Linked DNA regions of Canis lupus familiaris. The protein of the gene in region 1 purifies or fractionates together with the protein of each later gene. This does not show direct contact. Links are inferred from orthologs where the notes say so. Each region holds a gene or a part of one and is shown on either strand. Other genes may lie near its edges.

Region 1 (3,813 bases):
CCCGGGGTCCCTGAACACAGACCATCAGCTCGCTGCGTCCGCTCGCCGAGTGTGGCCCCGGGCTCCCGGCCCCCGTGTCTCTAAAGAAAGACCCATGCAATGTCACGGCACGTTGCCTCGCGTGCACCGCGGCCTCTCTGTCTCGTGCGCCACCGAGGAGGGTGGCCCGAGCCTTCCTTGATGCGCAGGGATGTCTCTCGAGACTGTCAGGTCATCTGCTTAAGCCCGTCTCGGGAGCACGTGCCTGAGGCCGGTGTTCCCTGTGTGGTTTACAGAAACTCGGTAGTCACGTCACTGCTGGTAACCAAGGCAAAGACAGCCCAGTGACCGGCAGCCCTTGTGGCCACTGGTCCGGCCTGCGGGGGCCCTTCTCCGGAAAGCGCCTCCATTCCTAGAAACCGCTTTCCCCTCGCTCTCCTAGAGACGCGATGGTGCAGCCAGCTCCACGGCCACAGTCTGTTTGCCCTTGATTCCTGCATGTTTTTGGAAATGTGCTTTTTTTTTTTTTTTCTTTTCGGTTACACGGTTCGTTGTCATCACGATCACGTGTCTTCTTGTGGTTCCTTCCGCACAGACCTGCCTGGAGTTGGAACGCTACCTCCAGAGCGAACCCTGCTATGTGTCAGCCTCCGAAATCAAGTTCGACAGCCAGGAGGATCTGTGGACCAAAATCATCCTGGCTCGGGAGAAAAAGGAGGACCCGGACCTGAAGCTTTCCTCCAGCCCCCCCGAGGATGCTCTGAACAGCCCCGGCTTTGCTTACAACCTGGAGACCAACAGCCTGAACTCCGACGTGAGCAGCGAGTCCTCCGACAGCTCCGAGGAACTTTCTCCCACCACTAAATTTACCTCCGACCCCATTGGCGAAGTCTTAGTCAACTCGGGGACCCTGAGCTCGTCGGCCACCTCCACGCCCCCGTCGTCCCCGGAACTGAGCAGGGAGCCCTCTCACCTGTGGGGCTGCGTGCCCGGCGAGCTGCACCCCCCCGGGAAGGTGCGCGGAGGGACTGCGGGGAAGCCCGGTGACAAGGGCAGCGGGGACGCCTCCCCGGATGGCCGGAGGCGGGTGCATCGCTGCCACTTTAACGGCTGCAGGAAAGTTTACACCAAAAGCTCCCACTTGAAAGCACATCAGCGCACTCACACAGGTCAGTCCCTCCTGCGACGCGGGAGGTGGGCCGCTGGTGGGCGCCACTGCATCGCACCAGCCCTGGGAGGGGGCCGGGGCTCGGCCGGAGGCTGGCAGAGCAGACACATCCTCACCTCATGCTTCCCCAAAAGAGTTGGGTCTCTGGGGAGGACAGAGTAGGAGCTGAAAGACTGGACGTGTGTGCCCGGATCGGGTGAGACTTTCAGATTAAACAGACGAGGTAAATCCATTCTCCGCCCCCACCCCACCCCTCACTCACTCCGACCTTCCCGGGGATGGGATCGCCCGCGTGCCCGGGCATCACGTGGCGGGGACTTGCCTCCGGTTTTCTGTACTGGAACTCGAGGGTTGGGGGCGGGGGCGTCCGCGGGGCTGAGGGGTGGCAGCTGGACCCATGTGCTGGCCCCTGGCCGCTTCCCAGGAGCTTCCCCGTGTCTCCCGCGGCCTCTGTTTCTGATGCCAGTTTAAAAAACAAAAACAAACAAACAACTTTGCGATCAAAGTGCACGACTGGGATGAAACCCCGTTTGAAAGGACTGGGGTGGGTCAGATAAGGGAGCATGACCATGTGTTCTCTACGCCGGGCCAGCTGGGTGCAGAAGCCCAAAGTCCCCGGGGCACAGGGCAAGGGGGGCTCTGGCCGAGGGGGTCACCGTAAGTTCTGGCCTGCCCCAGGGCCGAGAGGGGACGCTGGAGCCCTCAGGTCAGGGTCCCCGGCGTTGCTGGCGTCAGGACCCCGGTCCCCGTCTGCCCCGACGGCTCGCTCGAGGACGGGCAGAGGCCAAATCTTGAATGGCCTTGGGTAGCACTTTTAGCTAAGTTCGTGTGTATCCTCTGACCGACCGGGAGCAGTCAGTTTGGCCATTTGATTGTCATTTAGAAAGTGCTTTGAAGGCCTTCGGATGGGGTTTCCCAGAAACTCATGACCTCAGTTTTAGAGAAATGCCGTTTCCCGGAGGAAAGTACAAAGCCTCATTCCATAGGGAAGTGAGGAAGGAACAAAGTAAGTGCTTGAGAGAGACCGTTTCCATGGAGAAAGCAATAAAACCCTGCCCCCGCCAGGGCTGTGGGTCCAGTGGGCTGACACGTCACCTCAGAAGTATTTCGCCAGTCTGAGTATTTGTCATTCTTACGCTGTAACTCTGATTACTGGTCACGTGGGCCCTGCCCGGCCTGGGTCCCCTGCACAGCCCTCGGGGGCCCCAGGCCAGGTCAGGAAGGGACCCCGGGGTGTCCCCCAGAGTGCCCGCCCGGCCCTTCACTGGGGCGTGACACGGGGGGCCGAGGCCGGGCCCCCAAGCTCGCGGATGAGTCCACTTTGTCCAGCTGCTTCCCCGTCCTGTCCCTGCACACCTCCTCCTCCTCAGCGAAGTCACGGTGTGCCTGTCGTGTGCTCTCTTCCCAGGAGAAAAGCCTTACAGATGCTCATGGGAAGGGTGTGAGTGGCGTTTTGCAAGAAGCGATGAGTTAACCAGACACTTCAGAAAGCACACTGGTGCCAAGCCTTTTAAATGTTCTCACTGTGACAGGTACGTGCACAAAGCGTAGGGGCGCCGAATGCCGTCCCCGGAGAGGCACAGGCCTGCAGTGAGGAAGGCAGGGTGGCCCGTCCCATGCCCGCACGCCTCTTCTCGGCCTCGGACTTTTTGAGAGAGTCTGTAATCTGCCAGCTGCCCCAGTTAGGGAGACCTGTGCTCTGTGTGCGTGAGACTACAGGCATTTCCTTCATATTTTCAGAAGGCTGGCTTTCAGTCCTTCCAATGGTTGAATGATGAGGTCAGGCGAAATTCTCCTGAAAGCTGATTGGCGTCCTCGATGTATATTCCCATCAGCTAGAATTTTCCTGCCCCAGAAAACCGACTGGCCAGCTGGCTGGGACTCGGAGCAGACCTCCCTTCCCTTGGAGAGGGGTTGGGGTTAGGAAGCATAGGCCAGGGGTCTGTAACCTCTGTGAAAGCCATAGAGTCTCACCTTCCCTTCTAGAGGGAATGCGGTTGGGGAGGACAGGCCAGGGGAGTCTGTAACCTCCATGAAGGCCATTGAGTCCCACCTTCCCTCTGAAGGGATTGGGGTCGGGGCGCTCAGGCCGGAGGGGTCTGTAACCTCCCTGAAGGCCATGGAGTCCCACCTTTCCTTCTAGAGGGGTTGGGGTTAGGAAGCACAGGCCAGGGGGTCTGTAACCTCCCTGAAGGCCACGGAGTCCCACGTTCCCTTCTAGAGGGGTTGGGGTCAGGGCATGCAGGCCAGAGGGTCTGTAACCTCCCTGAAGGCCATGGAGTCCCACCTTCCCTCTGGAGGGGTTGGGGGTGGAGGAGCGCAGGCCACAGGGTCTGTAACCTCTGTGAAGGCGGGAGACCTAACGTGTGGGATGCCTCTTTGCCCTGCAGGTGTTTCTCCAGGTCTGACCACCTGGCCCTCCACATGAAGAGGCACCTGTGAGGGAGCAGAGCAGCGAATCCTGCGGGCTAAAAGGCTTCCGGGCTGAGAGACAGCCGTGGAAGGAGGGTGCGCGTTCCAGCCAAAGCATGCCATTTTCGCACCCCACCCAGTTTGCCTCCAGGACCTCTACTTGGAAGGTCTTTCGAGGGCGAAAACCGTCGTGTCGGAGCGGCAGAGCACCCGCGGCGTGTGGTGTTTGGGTGGCCCTGGACTCGCCACTGGTA
Region 2 (3,657 bases), on another chromosome or scaffold:
CAGAAGGTCAAGAGAGACAACGTTTTAATGGCTGGGCCTTGAGGACAACTCTGGTTGCATTTAAATCTCAGTGCCAAATGCACTAAGAGTTCCCTGCCGCTATAATTTTTGGATCAGTCTCTTCAGGAATCAGGCCATGGAGAAAGCAGGATGGTGTCTCCCGATCTCTCTTATAAACCACAGTGGTAAGACAAGATTTCTTTTTGTTCTGGGCTATCACTCCCATGATCGTGTGCTTCCTTTTCCCTCAGGAACCACCCAAGGAAGAGTTAAGGGAAAAGGTCAAAGAACCTCTGCCTTGCCACTAGTACATGCTCTGGAGTTCTGCGGAATGGAAACCCGAACAGATTCATTGGCTGATGTTCCTTAATAACATGAGAAAGAAACTACTGGGGATGTTCAAAAGAGGAAGTGCATTTCCTTTCAGAATATGACCTCAGAAACCCATACACCAAAGCTCAGAGCTACTTTGGAAGACAGCTGTACAAATGTCCAAATACTCTACTAACTCCTGAACTGGACTACTCTGAGTCACTTCCACTTCTGAGCACATCATTTTCCTATTGAAAGCCCCTAGCTTTTACTTGACCATTTTTGACAATTTATACAAACTGATCCCAGATTATATAACCTTTAAAGGGTCTTTTGTACAATTCCATAGAAAGACGTCTGACTCTTGATGCTTAGAGCAGCTAATGAGGAGAGGTGCCTTGGACTCTCCAGCGCCAAGAGGGTGCCTGCGTCAGTAGTATTTTGAACACTCTCTCCACAGCTAACTCAAGCATCAGCCTGGGCTTCAAGGCTCTCTCCACTCTGCTGCTAGGACCAAGGACCTTAAAAGATTGACAGAAGTGCCTCATCCAGGGATCATTATCAAAACCAAAACATGAAGTGATCAGGTGAGAGAAAGGGAGACAGAAAGGTTGAGTCAAGAAAAGAGTACAAGAAGCTGATCCCAAATAAAAAGACAAAATTAAGAAAAAACATTATGTATGTATATATAAACTAAAAGCAGAGCATATGAACGCTTAATCTGGTGGGAAGCCAAGACAACATCTATAGAAAAGCTTGATGTGTCACAACAAGGCTCAGCCATAGGGAAATAAGGCAATATAAAAAAATGACCAAGGTATTTTTGGTCACAGAATGGTCTCCTTCCTCCTCCCAGCCAACCCCTGCAAATGCATCTCTATATATCTTTTATATATATATATATATATATATATATAATATAGAATCTGGTTTTTTTTTTGTTAAAAAGTATTTCAATGATCATATATATTTATCAAGGCATGATGGCTTTAGGAAAGGGGGGATCCATCATGGGGGAGCTGAGAAGGGAAATGCAAGAAGGGAAAGCTGGGGAAAGAAGTGTAAGAAACTGTGTGGGGTCAAACAAATGCTCATAAAGGGTGGCACCAACAGAATTTTCAATAACGTTTCTCACTTCAGGAGGTACTGATGATAATAGATGGATGCCAGGACCCCATCTCTTGTATCCCTCCCCCAATTCTTCCCACCACCATGCATTTTAATGCCTCATGGCTCTCTCTCCCACATGTCTCTTGGACCCATGCTACCTTGTATCCCAGGGTTGATGGGTATGGCCCATATGTCTCTGGCCCCGGGTGCCTGATCTCAGAAGCCATTGCCACTGATATTAATGGACTGCAGATCTGCCACCTGCATGACGTTGATGCCACTGTTGGCAAGACGGGCAATACCCTCTGGACAGATGGCCTCCATGGCTACCATATTGGTGGTAATAAGGGCTGAAGGGGTAGCAGTGCCGCTGCCTTCTGAACCTGCCCCACTGTCCAGGGGCAAAGTGCCCACACTCAGGGATACACCTGGGCCTCCCTTCTTATTCTGGTGGGTCTTGATATGCTTTGACAGGTGGTCACTCCTCATGAAGCGCTTGGGACACTCAGGGCAGGCAAATTTCTTCTCACCTTGGTAAAAGAGAAAGAAGACAAGAAATGAACATCTTACGAAGTAGGGTTACCTTGTCCAATTTACTGCTTTCAAACTATATGGGACAGAATATTAGTCTTAGAAGGTAATAAAAACAAGAAAAATCTGGTATCTTTTTCTTTTTGAGAGAGTGGGGGCAGAAAAATAGGTAAAGGTCAAAGAGTACTAGAAAGGAAGGACTACAGTAGAAAAGTAAGGTAGGACCGAGAAGAATAATGGGGCCATGGTCCTCCTTTAAAATCCCACTGAACACCTAGCTCCTTCCTTCTGAAAGGTTTTCCAGATAAACTCCAATTCGAATCATTTATGTTCCATATATTCACTTTCAAACTTAATTACTCAGAAATTTAATTATTTCATAGATATATTTTGTGTCTTTTTATGCTATTACTATTTCTTTCCTCCCGGGGCTCCTTCTCACCTGTATGTGTGCGTTTGTGTCTTTGTAGTTCATCCGAACGTGTAAAGCGTTTCCCACAGTATGACCAGGTACACATGAATGGCCTCTCGCCTGTATGCCAACGCAAGTGTGCCCGTAGGTGTGAGGTCTTGCCATATACTTTGCCACACCCTTGGATGTGGCAAATGTGCTGTTTCTTTTTGCCGGGATCCCCAGAGCCTCTGAAAATAAGAACACAACTATTCATAATGCATTCTAGAGACAAGAATTAAAGAACCCCAAAATGTTAACATTTATTACCTGACCCACTCAAAACTAACCCAAATTTCTATTTAAAAACAAACACTTCTCTTGGGGCACCTGGTGGGCTCAGTCAATAGAGCAAGCAACTCTTAATCCTGCTGTCATGAGTTCAAGCCCCATGTTGGGGGTGGAGGGAGAGAGGGAAGGAGGGAGGGCAGGCTTCTCTTTAGTACCAAAATATCAATCTTTAGGGGTGCCTGGGTGGCTCAGTCAGTTAAGCATCTGATTCTTGATATAGGCTCAGGTCATGATCTTGGGGTCATGTGACTGAGTCCCATGCTGGGCTCTACGCTCAGCATGGAATATGCTTGAAATTCTCTCTCTCCCTCAACCTTTCCCCTACCCCTGCTCGTACCCTCTAAATAAATAAATAAAACAAAGACATAGATCTTTAGTTGATGCTGATTCTTAATACCCCAAATTCAAGTTTTAAATTTTTTCTCTACTGGATATTTACTATTTCCTGTTTTTCTATTCCTTAATCAATTCTGATGTTTGATGTATGAAGAGATAATTGCTCTCCGGATGACTTGTGAAGTCTGTGAGGCTTCTTGTATTTTTCACAAAGTTTGTCTTAATACAAGCATTTCCTTCCTCCCTCCCTCCCTTCTTTTCCTTTTCTTCTTTCTTCCTTTCTTTTTTCTCTTAAGATTTTATTTATTCATTCATGAGAGACACAAAGAGGGGCAGAGACTCAGGCAGAGGGAGAAGCAGGGAGCCAGATGTAGGACTTGATCCCAGGACCCTAGGATCATGACCTGAGCCAAAGGCAGACGCTCAACTAATGAGCCACCCAGATGCCCCCAAGCATGTTCTTTTTCTTTTTTTTCTTCAAGATTTTATTTATCTATTCATGAGAGACACAGAGAGTGAGGCAGAGACACAGGCAGAGGGAGAAGCAGACTCCCTGCAGGGAGCCTAATGATGTGGGACTCGATCCCAAGACCCCAGGATCATGACCTGAGGCCAAAGGCAGATGC

Evidence for each region.
Region 2: the proteins of KLF6 (region 1) and SP1 purify together in Homo sapiens (affinity purification with western blotting, with the first as the bait; 3 studies listed by BioGRID). This does not show direct contact. The link is inferred for Canis lupus familiaris from reciprocal best matches to the Homo sapiens genes KLF6 and SP1.

Annotation. Positions count from the first base shown.
Region 1 is NC_049223.1:30,691,732-30,695,544, forward strand, and holds part of KLF6 (Krueppel-like factor 6), read left to right. Parts: intron 1-574; coding exon 575-1,148; intron 1,149-2,555; coding exon 2,556-2,679; intron 2,680-3,537; coding exon 3,538-3,589; 3' UTR 3,590-3,813.
Region 2 is NC_049248.1:44,843,445-44,847,101, reverse strand, and holds part of SP1 (transcription factor Sp1), read right to left. Parts: intron 2,596-3,657; coding exon 2,396-2,595; intron 1,953-2,395; coding exon 1,639-1,952; 3' UTR 1-1,638. UniProt on the Homo sapiens protein: Transcription factor that can activate or repress transcription in response to physiological and pathological stimuli.